3 linked regions of the Xenopus tropicalis genome follow. The protein of the gene in region 1 binds, or shares a complex with, the protein of each later gene. Links are inferred from orthologs where the notes say so. Each region holds a gene or a part of one and is shown on either strand. Other genes may lie near its edges. The genes, in order: sf3b2, sf3b1 and sf3b4.

Region 1 (5,946 bases):
GGCCTAGCATGTATGTGTTGGCTTGTTTGTGTGCACTCTGAATCCTGTGTTTGCAGGAGACGACTCTTTATTCTTAAAATGGCAATTTTCTATTTCGGAGTACCCAGTAGCCCATACTACTAAAAAAGTATATTTATATCAAAAAAGGTTTATTTAGATGAATCAGGGTTTTGCATATGAGCTTGTTTATGCAATATATTTTTATAGAGACCTACATTGTTTGGGGGGTATAGTTTTCCTTTAAAGGACAAGGAAAGGCAAAGTCACTTGGGGTGCCAAAATGTTAGGTTACTGCTCATGCGCCGGTCGTGGGGTCCGGCAAAACGATGCAGGAAGGAGGAAGCGCTTGCTACAGGTACCCCGGGCTGGTGCTGTTTTCTCCTAACAGGGGCACCAGCCCGGGGTACAAGGTAAGCGATTAAAGCCACTTGGGGGTGCCTAACATTTTAGCACCCCTGAGTGACTTAGCCTTTCCTTGTCCTTTAAGCTGGCCGGCTTGAGCAGGCTGATTAGTAAATACAGATTACAGCATGGCAGCTCTAAAACCAGTGCAATTAGTATCAGAAGAATTGTCTTGGGGTCACGTACACGGACGGATAATTGTCAGCAGCTTTTGTCGGCTTGTGTATAGCCAGCTTTAGAAATTTGCAGAGATTTGTACTGCAGCCTGCACAGGTATCTCATTGAAGGTTTCTATACATCTAATCTACCCACATTTTGTTGAAGGCTCAAAGTCTGCGCCCTTGTGTCTGCCAGGTTGTATAAAAACCAGTACAGCCCCATGATAGGCATATACCCTAAAGAGATGGAGTTACCAGCCTTTTAGGTTGATGTATAAACTATTTCACACATCAGGGTGAATTGCTAATTAGCCATGCAGCATGCACATCTGGCTTTAAATGAAAGAATTGACCCCCTTACATAATGCACAAATACTAGCATTCCCCTATATCAGTGCTGTCCAACTTCTACGGTGCCGAGGGCCGGAATTTCTCTAGCATACATGGTGGAGGGCCGCTAATTGTAGCCAGTTTTGACCACTCCCCTTTTTGAAACCACACCCACTTCAAACCACACCTATTTTATCACAATGGTGGTAGCACAGCAAAATCCCAAATGCTTGGTCCTTACTGTGGGGATATCAACCATCATTCATATGTGAAAGAATTATGTCATATTAAGATATACCCTTAAATTCCATATGCCTCCTCCTCCCCTGTGGATAGCAGAGCAACCCCCAGTACATAATTACACACCTTAGGAACGATTTAATGGCTATTTCCAACTGCTAACAAACTCCCACAACAAACCCCTGCCAGGTTCACCTCCCACAAGCAGCATAGGGCAAGCAGAGTATGGCACACACAGGCAGCACTCTGCCTGTCCTATGCTTTCTGTGTGTGCCATACCCTGCCTGTGTGTGCCATACTCTGCCTTCCCTATGCTGCCTCTGTGTGCCATACTCTGCCTGCCCTACCCTGACTGTGTGTGCCATACTCTGCCTGCCCTACCCTGACTGTGTGTGCCATACTCTGCCTGCCCTACCCTGACTGTGTGTGCCGTACTCTGCCTGCCCTACCCTGACTGTGTGTGCCATACTCTGCCTGCCCTACCCTGACTGTGTGTGCCATACTCTGCCTGCCCTACCCTTCCTGTGTGTGCCATTTCCTGCCTGCCCTACCCTGACTGTGTGTGCCATACTCTGCCTGCCCTACCCTGACTGTGTGTGCCATACTCTGCCTGCCCTACCCTGCCTGTGTATGCCATACTCTGCCTGCCCTACCGTGACTGTATGTGCCATACTCTACCTGCCCTATGCTGGCTGTATGTGCCATACTCTGCCTACAGTACCTATGTCTGAGGTGTGAAGAAGTAAACAATTGGAGTGATTACAGTCTGAGCCTGAGGTGTGAACACTGCTGGGGGTGAACAATGCAGGTATTAAAAGGTGTGAAAAACACAGGGAACTACATTTTTAAACAATACAGAGGGATTACAGCCTGAATCTGAGGTGAGAACCATGCAGGGGGCCAGTTAATCTCAGTACTGATACCATTTAATGCTTACTCACACAGAGGGGGGTCGCGGGCCGCCAGTTGGACAGCACTGCCCTATATGACAAATTAATTTAACAGGGGTAGGTAGAAATTTGTGCACCATCACATTAGACTATGTGTGTTGCCAGAAAACTACAGCAATTTTTTCATCAGCTGTATTGCTGGTCTCAAACCTGCCTCTATCAAGACCATTCTAGAAACAGGGTGAACTTTTTCCTTAGAATTTTCTTTTCCAAAACCCTGTCCTTTATGAGAGTTGGAATTGAAATCTGATTATGCTTTGTGTAACTCCATATCAGGGCTAGGGGATTTTCTTCTAGTTTTCTGTTATTAGTTTAAGTATTTTTATAATGACATTCTTAGGACCAGAGATACACAATGATATAGAACTTAACAACTGGAAAACTGAAAACTTGTTGGCAACATTTCACAGCACCTTTTTGTGATATAAAAGGCAGCAATGACCACATGTTGACTGGCAAGGAGTACAGAAGGGATGCAAAGGTATCATGTGGTAAGGCTGGATATAGAATCAGCCTCTTGTATATTTCCTGAGTGGTTACAGTATACTTTATTAAAAAGAAAGTGTTTGTAAATAATTATTCTCCACAAGGTCTTTTGCTGGAAGGTGTTATTCCTGTGAAGTATTATGAAGGATATTTCCTCCTTAAATTGTAGAGCATAGTACTTTTCAGAAAGTGTATTCTATGTAATATTGAGTTACTAGTACATCTTATTAATAATGTCTCTTTCCCACAGGAAGCAGAGAGGATATTATGGATCTTGCTTCTCCACAGGTAATTTACTGTGTGTTACTATATATTTGTCTGGAATGTCTTACAGTCAATCCTTACCCCTTTTTTTAATTTTCACTTTACAGACTGGTTAACTGACCCAATAACAGGGCATTTATAATCCACTCTGTGTTTGCACTCACAGGCACTAAGTACACCAAGGAGCAAGAGGATAGAGGATCAGTTGATTCTCAGGCAGTGTTTATACACATGAAAAGAATCAGTCCCATGTGGCAATAGCTTTACTAAGAAGTCCCATAACTCCCATACAGTTATGGGCTTTACACACATGGGTGCTAGATTACATTAGTGTAGGTACTGATAGCAACCAGTCATGTCTTTGCTTTCATTTTCAAGTTATTTGCTGATTGTTTGCTGTTGGCAACTGCATTTTTGTGTAATTTAGCAACTATGTTAGTAAATGAGCCTTTAAGTCTTTAGGATCACCAGAACCCAGCTTTTTCTGCTTTGCTTCATTCAAATTTTAAGCAAAAGCTCTCTATGAAATCTCTATGAAAAACCCTTTTCATACGTTTACTTTAGCAAAATCCATTATTTTTCTCATGGGCAAGGCAATCTTCAGTGAGTGGGCATCTTTGATTTTTTGTTTATACTGAGATAGGTATTTGAATGTGCTGGTCAAGTGATTTGAAAATGCTAATATGATTCCTTCCTGTTGAGTAAAGAACCCTATTTGCACAGATCAGTGGGCCAGACATAGTTTCTTTTGCAGATAACCCTGTTTTATATAAAAGCTTTATTGTATCTATGTTTTCTTTTATTTTAGGTTCGAGATGATGCTGAAATATCCTCTACTGCTGTTAGATTGGCACAGGTGGGTGTGCTGGCTAAATTAGGATCAAATAAAACAGTATTTTTACTTTTTATAAACTTTGCCTTCTTGCTTATTGAGTCTTTTTTTTTCTGTTACTCAGTCTACTCTGCCTGACCATACTAATTCTATTTGTCTTATTCACCCTAAATAAGTGCTTTCTTGTCCTTTTTATAGATGGCTGGGATGCCTCTACCCACACTTCAGGCTCCTCCCCCACCTCCTGGTCTCGGAAGAGGTTTTCCAATAGGTTTGCCTCCTCGCATAACTACTGACACTGATGGGGTAAAGCAGTCACAAGGTCCAACTCTTTCACTGCAGCCAAAGGTAAAAATGTATTTCCTGTCCTAAATGATCAGACTCAAAAATGTGTCATTTATTTAAGTATCAGTCTCGCAAATGATTCTGCAAGTCTTTATGTGCAAAACTGAGTGATTTGTTAGCCACAGGGTTCCAGGGATATTTTTATTATGTCAGGTAGTATCACAACACCATACTTAATGAAACCAAATTTTGAAGTCTTTAATACAAATGCTGCTGTGTCCCATTGGAGAGATATAGCAGGGTTGGAGAAGAGAAAAGAACACTGTGACCCCTGGATTTTGGTTCATCTTCATGTGAAGCCCAGGTTTTATATTCAGTACTAGATTTGGTATATTCTCTCTGCTTCCTTACTAGGAGCAAGAGGCAATTAGAGAAAATGTATTTTATGTTCTGACTCGGGGCTATTGAGAAACTGTATGGGAAGTTGTCTTGTACAAGTATAAAGGCTGAGGTGGGGGTATAATTGGGGACATAGCGGATAAATACATAGAGAGGAAAGGATGAATGCATAACTAACACAGAATATAAATTAATGGCTCTAAATAACTCTGGCCCATATGTTTTAGTAAATATTAGTAAGGGGGAAAAAAATTAAAGTTAACTGTCTAAATGGTGTATGTATTGCCTTTTGAAATGTTTCACTTAACACAACCATATATTTACATTGTTGTTCTTCTAGGTGACACTTATCGATCAGGAAGTCTCCACGACACGGTCACCCCTTCTTCCTAGAGGTAAATATTTATATATTTCTACACTAGAATAATTTCTGTCCTCTGGGGGGGAAATTGGTGTACATTCGCAATCAAAAAGTAGGTAAAGCTAGCCTATGATTAAGTGTCAAGTGCACGAAATGAGTAAAGCTATTATGTGGTCTAATTGTCTACAATAAAGCTTCTTTGATTTTTTCTACTCTTGCCTGCTCGTGGGATCTGTGAGTACCTGCTATATGTATTGAAGTATATCTTAATTGTAGGTACCCTCCCCATAAGCTCAATCCCACCATTGATGTCCTCCACAAGCCGCCCTCGAGTCCAATCACAACCTTCTGGAGAGGATTCCAAGGAAGTAAGTCCAAATTTTTGCTAATTTATTTGCTTTTTACGTTTTGTTCATGGCATTGTCTCTTTCCATTTTCCTCAGTTTTCCTCTTTTGTTTATTATTTTATGTGCTGCATATTTTCTGCACTGCAACCTTTTTATCATGTTCTGATTGTTTCTGTTTTTCTTAAAACAGGCAGATGACAGCTCAACAGGACCTAAAATCCCTCAGGTCCTTGAAAAGATTCTTCAGCTTAAGGAGCTCCGGCAAGAAGAGCTTGTATCTTTGCCAGCAACTACTGGTAATCTCTCCTAAAACTTATAACAGTGCCCAGGAAGTAATTATTGCTGTTACCAAATAACTATTTGGTCCTCTTGTCATGGTTTCTTATTAGAGGACCTAATACAAAACCCAGTATATGCACCTATGCATTCCCCTTATATGCCTGTTTGAATCCTCACTTCAAAAATAACCTTTGAATGCATGTTAATTTACTCCCTGATTGCTCATGTCATTTAGATGCCACTGAAAGCATATTCAGTTTATGGCATTTTTACTTTGATATATGTGTGCCTGAGTTTGTTTCTATGACGGCAATTATCCAGGTCTACATTTAACAACTGCAGCACAATCTGCAAAAAGAACTACAGTAAACTTTCTAGAATATCTGCATTTAACAGGGAAGTATATACTCTCTTTCATAATAAAGTCAAGTAATAGGGCTTGTGCTGAACATATATTTTTCCTATTGTTTTAAGTGAGAAATATAAATTGTTTCTTGCATTAAACAAAAAAAATTGTTTATAGAGAGCTCCCTTTGAACAACTTAAATTGTTTACAGGAGACAGGTTGAGTTCTACAAAAATATTAGGAAAATATGCATTTTTATCATTAAAG
Region 2 (5,946 bases), on another chromosome or scaffold:
GAACGAAGTGGCAGGCTGAATCCTATAGGTAGGTTTGGAAGTAGGAAAGAATAAATTTTTTTGGAGTTGGTATCACTTTAAATATCTTACTGTCCCTTATATATTGTTATGGGTGAGTACCGAGGATTTGTAATTTTCGTCAATTTCCATCAGCCCCCAACAACCTTATGCATTTTGTGGGAATTGAGGAGGGGTGGTTCAATAGCAACGCAGGTATTAATGAGTGATTCCTTCTCCAGGTGATTTATGCTGTTAAGCCTGTGGGAGGCAGTAGGGGAGAGCCTGGCATCTCGCATACTCATTCCTTGCACGTATTTGTTCAGTAAGATTGATAGATCCTAATTTTATTGGAATTTATTTTGATTATTGAAACTTGGCAGTAGCTGCTGCATTTTCCACCCTAGGCTTATACTCGAGTCAATAGGTTTTTCCAGTTTTCTTAGGCAAAATTAAGTACCTCGGCTTATATTTGGATCAGCTTATACTCGAGTATACACGTAACTACTTTTTAGTTTAATCTCCAGGGTACACCTCCTTTTTTTTAAATAAAGTAGCAAGCATGAAATCAATTTATTAAAGCTCAAATAAGGGTATTACACGGTATAATAAAAATGAAAAAAGGTTTGATGGCATTATTGCTTTAGGACTGTGATCCCCAACCCGTGTCTCATGAGCAACGTGTTGCTCACCACCCCTTTTGATTTTGCTCCGTGTCTTCAAATACATTTCTGGGTTGGAGGCAAGTTTTGGAAGCACAGACAATTTTAGTCCAAGAACTTCCTGCATGAGGCTACCAAATAGCCAATCAAAGCATCCTCAGGGATCTTTTTCATGCTTCTGTGGTTTACCAACATTTTTTTACAACTTATTGACCCAATTGAATTGATATTGAATCCAGGACAGGGGCACATAACAGGGCTGAGTACGGTAAGGAGAAGAAAAAAGCAAAGTCAAGGATTGACCAAATATCAGGGCAGGAAAAGTTTTAAGTGAAGAATAGGCAAGATGACAAAAACAACTAGAACCATCAAATTGGCCACAAAGTGATCAGAAGTGCTAGTTATTGTAGCCTGCAAATTTCTAACTCTGAGCTTATGAAAATGACCTTAACATTTTGTTATGATGATATTTTCAGAGGAGCTGAATATGTGTCTGCAAGGGAATGGATGAGGATTTGTTTCGAGTTACTGGAACTGCTAAAGGCACATAAGAAGGCAATTAGAAGAGCAACTGTCAATACCTTTGGCTATATTGCAAAAGCTATTGGGTAAGTATATATGGTTTCTCAGATGTTTAACCTATTGAACAAAATATGATAGTGTCACATTTATTTAACTTGTTCAGAAATGTTGACTACAAATTTATAGAAATAAAATGTTATACAAAACAGGACTGTTGCTTTTAACATTATTTTTTCATGTGCCTTAAAATGAAAATAAAGAATTAAGGGCTTTTGCAGCCTAATGAAAAATTGTAGAGTGTGTGGGGAAAAATTACACATGGCTGTAAAAGCATGCAATACAGGATTTACAGCTGTTTTTAGGACTGTATAAGCAATTGCATTCATTTCTGTGGCAGTCTTGTCACAGCAGCAACAATCCTATGGCACAACTTGGTGCCCAGGGTTCTTGCACAGCATTTACATGTGCTTCAGGTAAGGCTCAGAGATGGTGCTTTGTGTATAGCAACACTAGTACTTAAAGCGCTATTTACTAACACCACACATTTTATGTTTTGTGCTTAAAGTATAATAATAAATATAGCATAATAAAATGCTACAACTGACTTTCACTTTGTGTGCAGGCATCTTAATTCAGGTTGCCTTTCATTTTTTGTGTTAAACATTTTTTTCTCTTTTAGGCCTCATGATGTTCTTGCCACACTTCTTAATAATTTAAAGGTGCAAGAGAGACAAAACAGAGTATGCACCACAGTAGCAATAGCTATTGTTGCAGAAACCTGCTCACCATTTACAGTTTTACCAGCACTAATGAATGAATATAGAGTACCAGAACTCAATGTTCAAAATGGTGTGTTAAAATCCCTCTCTTTCCTTTTCGAATACATTGGAGAAATGGGAAAGGATTATATTTATGCTGTAACACCATTGCTGGAAGATGCTTTAATGGACAGGTAAATAAATTCTTTAATGGGAAGGGGGAGATAATTTTTTTTTTTATTGTCCCTAATATTTTGTTTTTTTTTTTCTTCACCCCCACCCTATTTTACTTTTCAGAGATCTTGTACACCGACAGACTGCTAGTGCAGTTGTTCAGCATATGTCACTAGGCGTGTATGGATTTGGATGTGAAGATTCTTTGAACCATTTGCTGAACTATGTTTGGCCAAATGTGTTTGAAACTTCCCCTCATGTCATCCAGGCTGTTATGGGTGCACTTGAAGGCCTACGGGTTGCAATTGGGCCTTGTAGAATGTTGCAGTATTGCTTACAGGTATGTTTGTTTTTTTCCCTTACAAATTCATGTATTTTTATATTACAGATAAACATTTTGTTCTAAGAACATGTATTGCTGTTTAAAATGTATTATAAAGCCATTGTGATGGTAAGATTTTAGTAGTTTGTGGTTTGTTTGTTTGTTTTTTGTTTTTGTTTTTTTATAGTAGTTAATGATTTTAGAGGATGTAACCTTCTTGGGGCACAGAGCCATACGTTGCTATTCATCAGGATGTATACTCCACCCTCCCATACTAGTGCCTACCTACCTAGAAGTTTAAATATCCTGCTTCTTTTTATCCTGAGGATGTAGTTTAACTAATTACTTATTACTAAAGAAATTCCTAAAAATATATTTTTTGGAGTTAGATATGTTAATTGAATGAAATCAAATAAATCAGTAGGTGTTAGGTGATTATTATATAATTTTATTCTTAAAGTTTGAAATACAGTATTTGTGATGAAACAGTACAGCAAATTATTGACGTCAGTAAGTAGAAAAGTAAATCAAGTGGAGGGTCACCAGATAATAAACACACTCAATTTCCTGTTTTTCTTTTTCTGGGTGTAATAAGAAGGGTGCTTAGCCACAGCTGTGGGCTCTTACATTTTACCCTAATACTTACTGTTAGAGTATTTTCTAAATGCCCACAAACTGCAGGGGGTAGAATTTAAAGGTGCACTTGTACCTTGGACATTGAATTATTGTTTCCATGAGCTTCATCTTTAACAATGCACTCTTAATCTTGTAGTAGTTTTTAGTGTGCCTAGAGAGTAATGACTGTCTGCAGTCACTGGATACATAACCAGTACTTGGACCAAATTTATCTGAGGCTTTCACTAATAAGCATGGTGTTGGCCAGATACATGGAGCAAATTTTAGCATATAACCGTATGCATTTTTGTACTGATATCTGATTTGTGTGTATGCACACAGGTCCAAGGCATAGTCCCTGTGCTCTTAGCCTTAGGGAAATATCAGATGAGTCACTTTTTGCCCATAGGATATCTCACCAATAACTGTTAACCAATCACCCAAGGTAACATTTGAGTTACTCCCTATGTGAATCTCCGTGGTCCATAACCTATACTGCCTCTGTTTTACACTTTTTTTTTTTTTTGCCTGTTTCCTCACCCAGCATGTGCTATTAGCAAAGCAGCGGTAGCACCATATAAATATTGAAGTGCTATCAAGTTATTTTGTTAACTGCCCATTATTCAGTTGATCAGCTGCAGAACATAAGCTTAGACCATGAGTGCAAAGCACTTTTCCTTAGAATGTATAGCTTTGCTTGATAAAGAGAACTGATGCCACTAAGACTCCATCTACAAGAAATAAACATATTTAATCTAGGCAAACACATGTTGGGGCTGCTGGACTTGACTGCAAGACATGTAGATCAGCAATCATTAATAAGCAAAAGTTCTGGCTAGTCTTATAACCTTGCAGCAGTTCCATACAGGGTTAGGACCATTCTTTGGTAGATTGACTTGTGGGTTTAGGGTCATTGCCTTGTTGCATTAACCCACATTCTCTTGAGCTTCAGTTGATGGCTAGAAACCAATATTTTCCTGCAGATTTTGCAGATACAATTTAGAAATGATAGTTTCATCAATGATGGTTGGCCATCCTGGTCCAGAGACAGAAACAGACCCAAAACATGAAACTGCCACAACCTTGGCTAACAGATGGGATACAGTTCTTGTGCTAGAATGCAGAGGTTTGCACCAAACAAAACTATTCATTTAAACTAATTTTGGTCCCATCTGGTCACAGACCATTCTTTCAATACCCGTCTACCCTCCCAGGTCTCACACACAGTTGGCTCCACTTCTATCACGCTGAATTCTGTAGGCAGGCGGGGAATAGTGGATCCACTCTCATAGAACCTGTACTTGTCAGTGCAGCTGCCCAAGTTAGTTACACGGAGCAGAGCAGGGATCAGCCCTAAAATTCCTGTCAGTGCAGCTATACCCGGCTATGGAATGTAGATACACTTCTTAGCCTGCCTACAAAAAACAGACTGAAAGAAGCAGAGCCAATGCTGTTGGTGACCAGCGCCTTAGAAATACATTCCATCAAAAGGAGAGTGACTGTCCAGTGTTTTATTTGTATGTTCAGTTGAGTGCTTTTTTTGGCATGCATCAATCACTTTGTATTTAATTCTGACTCTTAAAACTGTAACAGGAGTCAGTTCTTCTCAGGGTCTTTTAATCAACTGGCAGCATTGTCTCAGAAGACAGAGCCAGGATTGCAGAGTACGTAGACAGGCAGATACTTTTGAACATTAAAAAATGTTTAATGTATTTTGAAAAATAACTTGGATTTTTTTTCCACCTTACAAAATAATTTTGGCGGTGGAACCCTTTAAGTATTCCTTTTAAGCTGTAAAATGACTTGTATAAATATGCTGATTTAGAGCAGTGGAGGCAATCATGTAGCTTCTGTACAGGTCCCTTTTTCAAACCAGGGTTCAGTGTAAGTATGATTCATAACAAAACATTGCTTCAAAACAATACCGTTTTTTTAAAAATGATAAAACTTGTGCAGAAGTAGTGGTCTTTATAGGAGTCATTGGGGACCTGTGTGCCCTGCCTTCCATGTATTTAATAAATACAGTACTACCAGTGCATATTTAAAAATGAGTTGTACATATCTTTCCTCTTGACATTTATTTAAAACCTTTTTTTAGCTAACCTTTTAGTTTCTGCAAGACTAACATTAGTATAAAACACTTTGTAAATTAAAATGATTGTTTGGTCTCTTTAAAACTGATACCTGCATGTTGTGTCCACACCTTTATTTTTTGTTCTTTGTTTTTTCTCCTAGGGCCTCTTTCATCCAGCCAGGAAAGTGAGGGATGTATACTGGAAAATATACAATTCAATATATATTGGCTCACAAGATGCCCTCATTGCTCATTATCCTCGTATATACAATGATGAAAAGAACACCTACATTCGCTATGAGCTTGACTATATTTTGTAAAATATTTACCATCGTTCACTTAATTGTTCTGCATATTATGTGAAACATAAGTAATACACACAGTTCTGCAGCATGATTTTTAGGAGAGCCTGTTTTGGTGTAATCTGTTTAGAAGTGACTAGGAAAGTTTGGCTATTTTTGATCCAAAATCTGATACAAATGCCATTCATTTATCTTTGAAGATGTGTATTTGTGAAATAAACATTTTATGTATAAAAAATGTAATGCTTTGTTCCTTTATGTGAAGTTAAATTTAGCTGAAAAAAACAATCCATCTATTTCAGCCCTTCTAGTGTTCCACAGTAATTGTATTTTGTGTAATGTTTATGAAAACTCTAAAGTGGCAACATCCTGCATTTTTTGCAAAATCATTAGCAAAAATAGACAGTACCATTACTAACCTTAAAGGACATGTAAAGCCTACAATGTATATCAGTTGGGCACGTCTACCCCACCCAAATGGTACCATTTGTACTGTATATATCCCCTCTGTTTGCCAGCA
Region 3 (6,020 bases), on another chromosome or scaffold:
CATGTCACAGTCTGGCCCAAGCATTCATGTCACAGTCTGGCCCAAGCATTCATGTCACAGTCTGGCCCAAACATTCATGTCACAGTCTGGCCCAAGCATTCATGTCACAGTCTGGCCCTCGGCATTTCATGTCACAGTCTGACCCCGGCCATTTCATGTCACAGTCTGACCCCGGCCATTTCATGTCACAGTTTGACCCCAGTCATTTCATGTCCCAGTCTGGCCCAAGCATTCATGCCACAGGCATTTTTTGACAGACAAAATATGGTACATCACCCACTCCAAAACCCCTGTGCAGACACAGCAATGAATCCTCCTCCGCTGCTCCGTTGGGTACAGCACTTTATATAATGTGAGGAGTTAAACTATGTTGCAGTGCCATCTTGCAAGTCATGCATAATGGCGTGGCAAGATCAAGACATTTGCCAATCCTGATTGGTGGGTAGGGGGCAGCAAATCAGTACTGTCCCACAAAAATCAGTAGTTATAACCCATATACTGGGCAAAATCAAACTGATCAGATGGTTATGATCCAACAACTGTATCACAACCTAGGACTATGGGACAATGTTGTCAAAGCTGCCAGCTTATACTGGGGAGGCCAACCAAACTGTCATCTTACATTGTCCTGTGTACAATCAGGATAAAAGAGAATAAAAGCCTGGTTAGTACCTTTGTCCCTTCCTAAACCCCACCAACAGGGACCCCCAAACCTGCTTAGTTGTTGTATCTGGTTAGAAGAAGAAAAGTGCAGGTTTGGCAGCTGCCATCTTGGGCTGCTCTGGCTCCCCTCACTACTGCTCCACCAGTCTGCTTTTTATATCCAGGGGCAACAAACAAGGAGTTTTTGGTACCAAGGCATTCACCAGGCTTTCAGTTACCTTTAACATTAAAGGTTTAAAAATATACATCAGACACAATAGTCAAATCTACTATTTGGCCAATAAGACTTTCTTGTCTCACTAAATTCTCAACCAACAGACATCTCTATGTAAAAGGGGAGGAGCATTGGTCTTTACATGTGACCCTTGTATGTTCCTTTAGGGTGAAGACACACAGAGCTACTAGTAGCAGCTACTTTTTCACAGCTACTAAACGCCAAAAAATCCCCTGCCATAGACAATACTGAGAATTCCCTCTGCTAAGGGCTCTGGCACACGGGGAGATTAGTCGCCCGCGACAAAACTCCCTGTTCGCGGGCGACTAATCTCCCTGAGTTGCCTTCCCCTGCCATCCCATCGGCGACAATGTAAGTCGCCGGTGGGATGGCACACGCGGCGGCGCGATTTCCCGAAATCGCCGAAAAAGATTTGGGAAATCGCGCCGCCGCGTGTGCCATCCCGCCGGCGACTTACATGTTTGCCAGTGGGATGGCGGGTCATGACAACTCGGGGAGATTAGTCGCCCGCGAACAGGGAGTTTTGTCGCGGGCGACTAATCTCCCCGTGTGCCAGAGCCCTAAAACACATTGAGACTGTTATCAGTAAATGATCAGCATTGTCTATTTAAGTAGCGACTACAAGTAGTTGCTACTAGTAGCTCCGTGTGTCTGCACCCTTAGCTCACACCAGGGACCCTTTAATAATCCTTGGTGCCCATAGAAACAATGAAACACCCTCTATGCGCTGACAATACTGGCACATTTACTGTAAAATCTTAAAAAAATATAAAAATAAATAAATAACCCCCTCAGAGTTTACTACACGTTTACTTTTAGCTTTGGGGTTTCATTACAATACAAATATCTCCGCCGGAAAGCATTGACTGCATAAGGCATGTTAATAAAGTTATTCCATCTAAAAAAAAAAAAAAAAAGTGGTTGCGGAAGTAAGCGTTCTGAGGCCGGAAGTAGGGAAGCGGAAACTGAAGCAGCGAGGTGGCTGAGTGGTTGGCGGCGAGAAAATGGCGGCTGGGCCGATATCTGAACGGAACCAGGGTAAGGAACGTACAGACTGCGTATGGGCTGCATGGGGTGATTGGGGCGGAGGGAACTGTTATGCCGGGGGGGCTGGAAGTAGGGGTATCCGGGGTTTACAGGGAACAGTAAGAGCTCAGAGCAGGGGGAGGCGGGCTGCACTGTGTGCATGAGGTGCAGGCTCCATCTCTGTGCAAAAGTCATTTGGACACAAAGCTGTTCTTATAATATCGGCAGCCCGGCCTGTAACTGTACCTGAATCTACACAGAAACATTGATCTGCTTCTTCCCCACCAATACAGTTTATAGTGCTATCCCCATAAACACTGTGTATAATGCACAGAACTAATGCTAAGCAGCCTCCCTATATACATTCATTACACATTTCCAACGTTTATAAAGTTTCTTGCAAAATATAATTGTTAGCGAAAGCCGTCTGTCTTATTATAGTCTACACTGCTGGTTCTGACTTCTGAAACAATGTAACAAAGGCCAGGGCTATTAAACTATGAAATGGTTTCAAGAATAAGAAAGGGGCAGATAGATACTACTTCCAATAGCAATAGCATTTACCTTTGAACCACTGATTTTTTTTATTACCGTATATACTCGAGTATAAGCCGATCCGAATATAAGCCGAGGTACCTAATTTTACCTAAGAAAACTGGAAAAACTTATTGACTTGAGTATAAGCCGACCAGTTACATGGGAGTAGGAGAAACAATAGGTTACCTCAAAGCTGTTCTATCTCATGGTGGCGATTTGGGACATCAGTGCCCGACAAGACAAGGATGAGACACCCACAGAATGGCCACCCAGCACCCTGCTATATTTCAATGAGACCCAAAGCAACTCCCGGTGTGCAAGTGAAGCAGCGGTACCTTGCGGTGTGCCCTGTCAGCAGCGCCAGAGGATCCGTAAGCCCAGCATTTACGCTGCTCTTTAAATAAGCGGCGGCGCTCCTCTTAATTCCAACCTGTGTGTCTGCAAGGAGCCGTCATGTAATCGCCTCGCCAGCTGCCGTGTGACAAGGGTTAAAGAAACAGAGCGCTCTCGGCACAATTATTGCAATAAGCAGCACACCCGACAGCAACAAGACACCACGGTCCGGGAGTTTGGCGCTGTTTGGCCGGTCCTTAGAGTTGCGGGACAACCTCAATAAAGTCCGCGAACGGGTCCTTCGCTATCTGGCGGTAGTCCGAGCGCTATCTTCCGCTACGTCACAGGTGTGCAGGCAGGTTCGCATGCAACGAGCAGCTGCGAAACCATTTACCGTATATATACGCGAGTATATGCGCGAGTATAAGCCGAGGGTTCCTTTTTCAGCACATTTTTAGTGCTGAAAAACTCGGCTTATACTCGAGTATATACGGTATATATATATGTTGGAAAGTTGATGAAAACTTTCTCTCGTTATCTTTCGGGTTTATAGGTGGATATCTCCAGGGTTGTAAAGGGAAAGCTAAACCCTGTAGCAAGGAGAGTTTGTATTACAAGGATTAAAGGAACAGTAACACCAAAAAATGAAAGTGTATAAGGGCTCTGGAACACGAGGAGATTTGTCGCCGGCGATTTTTAAAAGAGCGATTTGGCGACAAGACACCAATGCTAAATCAATGGAAATTGCCAGCGTCAAAACATACGAGGCTACTTCAGATCGCCTGCTGTTTCAAGTCGCACACAGACCCTTTTCTGAGCGACTTGAGGGGGGTTAACTGTTGAGTGTACCATGGGTAGCAGATCGCCTGGAGCTCAACTCGCATGAAATCTCTTTGAGGGTATTCTCGTGGCGACTTGTCGCCAAAGCGCCAGGGGGAAAAAACGCAGACGACAAATCTCCTCGTGTGCCAGAGCCCTAAAAGTAACTAAAATATAATGTGCTGCTGCCCTGCACTGGTAAAAGCTGTGTGTTTGCTTCAGAAAGTCTACTATAATTTATATAAATAAGCTGCTATGTAGCCATGGGGGCAGCCATTCAAAGGAGAAAAGGCACAGGCACATAGCAGATAACAGATAAAACACTATTGTATTCTACAGAACTTATCTGTTATCTGCTATGTAACCTGTGCCTTTTCTCCTCTTTTCCAGCTTGAATGGCTGCCCCTGTGGCTACACAGCAGCTTATCATATAAATTATAGTAGTGTTACTGTAGCAAACACACCAGTTTTACCAGTTCAGGGCAACAGTGCCTCGGATCTATGATCTGTGCATTTATTCAGAGTGTAACGGGGATATTTAAAGAGAAGGTGGAATAGCTGATTTGCCGTGTACTATAACTTTTTTTTTTTTTCTTTTTGGATTTAGATGCCACAGTGTATGTCGGAGGCCTGGATGAAAAGGTGTCTGAGCCTCTTCTATGGGAGCTCTTCTTGCAAGCAGGGCCTGTAGTGAATACACACATGCCCAAAGACAGGGTCACGGGGCAGCATCAAGGTAAGATTGGCACCTCTTAACCATTATTTCTTATAGCTGTGTATAGGCAGGAATGGAGGGGAATGCTGTGGAGAAGTTGTTGCAATTTGTAACAAGAATGTTTTAGTCCCTCCTCCCCTGCCAGGATTTCAAATGATGCAGAAAGAGAAGAACTGTTTTGCAGCTGGATTTCAGCATATAAAAATGGTATTTATTCATGCTTTTTGAAGGAACAGATTACAGGGTATTTTGGGGGTTTCTGTGTGCGGGAAGCAATAGTTTCCACATCGTTTGATCATGGTTAAAGCAACATATCTACTTGGTCACTGTCTCTTCCCATTTGCCTGAATGGGGAAACACCACAGGTGTCCTGGTGAAAATGTGTGCTGGATCCAAAAGCATCAGGGTGAAGACACACAGAGCTACTAAGTAGCAGCTACTTTTTCAAGGCTACTAAACCCCAGAAAATCCCATGCCATAGACAACTGAGAATTGCCCCTGCTAAAACACACGTAGAGACAATTATCAGTAAATGACCAGCACTGTCTTTTTTTTTTTTTTAGTAGCCACAACAAGTAGCTGCTATTAGTAGTTCCATGTGTGTTCAACCTTAAGGCTGAAGACACACAGAGCTACTAGTAGCAGCTACTTGTAGCAGCTACTTGTCACAGCTACGGGAATAGACAATGCTGATCATTTGCTGATAATTGTCTCCGTGTGTTTTAGCAGAGGCAATTCTCACTATTGTCTGGCAGGGGATTTTCTGGCATTTAGTAGCCTTGAAAAAGTAGCTCTGTGTGTCTTCACCCTAAGTGTACATGCTTTGCATCTCACAGCAATAGTGCTTTTATGTTGTCCTTCCTTCCACCCCCAGGATCATACATCTTTGTTACTGTTAGTTGATAACATTGCTACAATATCATATGTGGCTTTGCTGAAAACAAAGGAATCATTCCTTTTTAATGGCGGGGTGGGTCATCAATTTCTAGCTATGGAAGCTGCCATGTTGCACTCCGTGCTGAGTATATGTATAGATAACAGACAGGTGATACAGTCTCTGATGGTTTGTTTCCAGGTTATGGCTTTGTGGAATTTCTGAGTGAGGAGGATGCCGACTACGCCATAAAGATTATGAACATGATAAAGCTCTATGGGAAACCCATTAGAGTAAATAAAGCCTCGGCGCACAACAAAAACCTGGATGTCGGCGCCAACATCTTCATTGGAAACTTGGACCCAGAGATTGATGAGAAGTTGCTTTATGACACCTTCAGCGCTTTTGGTGTAATCTTGCAGACCCCCAAGATCATGAGAGACCCAGACACCGGCAACTCCAAAGGTTATGCCTTCATCAACTTTGCCAGTTTTGATGCTTCGGACGCAGCCATTGAGGCCATGAACGGACAGTACCTGTGCAACAGGCCCATCACCGTCTCCTATGCTTTCAAGAAGGACTCCAAAGGAGAGCGGCATGGGTCGGCCGCAGAGAGACTGCTGGCTGCCCAAAACCCACTTTCACAGGCTGACCGGCCTCACCAGCTTTTCGCCGATGCCCCTCCACCTCCGTCTGTACCAGCTGTCATTACATCATTAACAAGTGCAGTTGCTGCAGGTGGGTATTTTTGCTTTTCAGCTGGCATTAAAGCAGGGACTGGTTGTGGGGCTGAAAGTGCCAGAAGTTGGGAGTTGTAG

The links.
Region 2: sf3b2 (region 1) and sf3b1 share a complex: the UniProt entries of both Homo sapiens proteins name them as parts of the SF3B subcomplex of the 17S U2 SnRNP complex. The link is inferred for Xenopus tropicalis from reciprocal best matches to the Homo sapiens genes SF3B2 and SF3B1.
Region 3: sf3b2 (region 1) and sf3b4 share a complex: the UniProt entries of both Homo sapiens proteins name them as parts of the SF3B subcomplex of the 17S U2 SnRNP complex. The link is inferred for Xenopus tropicalis from reciprocal best matches to the Homo sapiens genes SF3B2 and SF3B4.

Annotation. Positions count from the first base shown.
Region 1 is NC_030680.2:40,090,772-40,096,717, reverse strand, and holds part of sf3b2 (splicing factor 3B subunit 2), read left to right. Parts: intron 1-2,816; coding exon 2,817-2,854; intron 2,855-3,638; coding exon 3,639-3,686; intron 3,687-3,860; coding exon 3,861-4,010; intron 4,011-4,686; coding exon 4,687-4,741; intron 4,742-4,983; coding exon 4,984-5,075; intron 5,076-5,244; coding exon 5,245-5,350; intron 5,351-5,946. UniProt on the Homo sapiens protein: Component of the 17S U2 SnRNP complex of the spliceosome, a large ribonucleoprotein complex that removes introns from transcribed pre-mRNAs.
Region 2 is NC_030685.2:45,851,627-45,857,572, reverse strand, and holds the end of sf3b1 (splicing factor 3B subunit 1), read left to right. Parts: intron 1-1,135; coding exon 1,136-1,267; intron 1,268-1,860; coding exon 1,861-2,133; intron 2,134-2,236; coding exon 2,237-2,453; intron 2,454-5,285; coding exon 5,286-5,444; 3' UTR 5,445-5,664; downstream 5,665-5,946. UniProt on the Homo sapiens protein: Component of the 17S U2 SnRNP complex of the spliceosome, a large ribonucleoprotein complex that removes introns from transcribed pre-mRNAs.
Region 3 is NC_030684.2:128,886,274-128,892,293, reverse strand, and holds the start of sf3b4 (splicing factor 3B subunit 4), read left to right. Parts: upstream 1-1,866; 5' UTR 1,867-1,902; coding exon 1,903-1,936; intron 1,937-4,220; coding exon 4,221-4,349; intron 4,350-5,403; coding exon 5,404-5,940; intron 5,941-6,020. UniProt on the Homo sapiens protein: Component of the 17S U2 SnRNP complex of the spliceosome, a large ribonucleoprotein complex that removes introns from transcribed pre-mRNAs.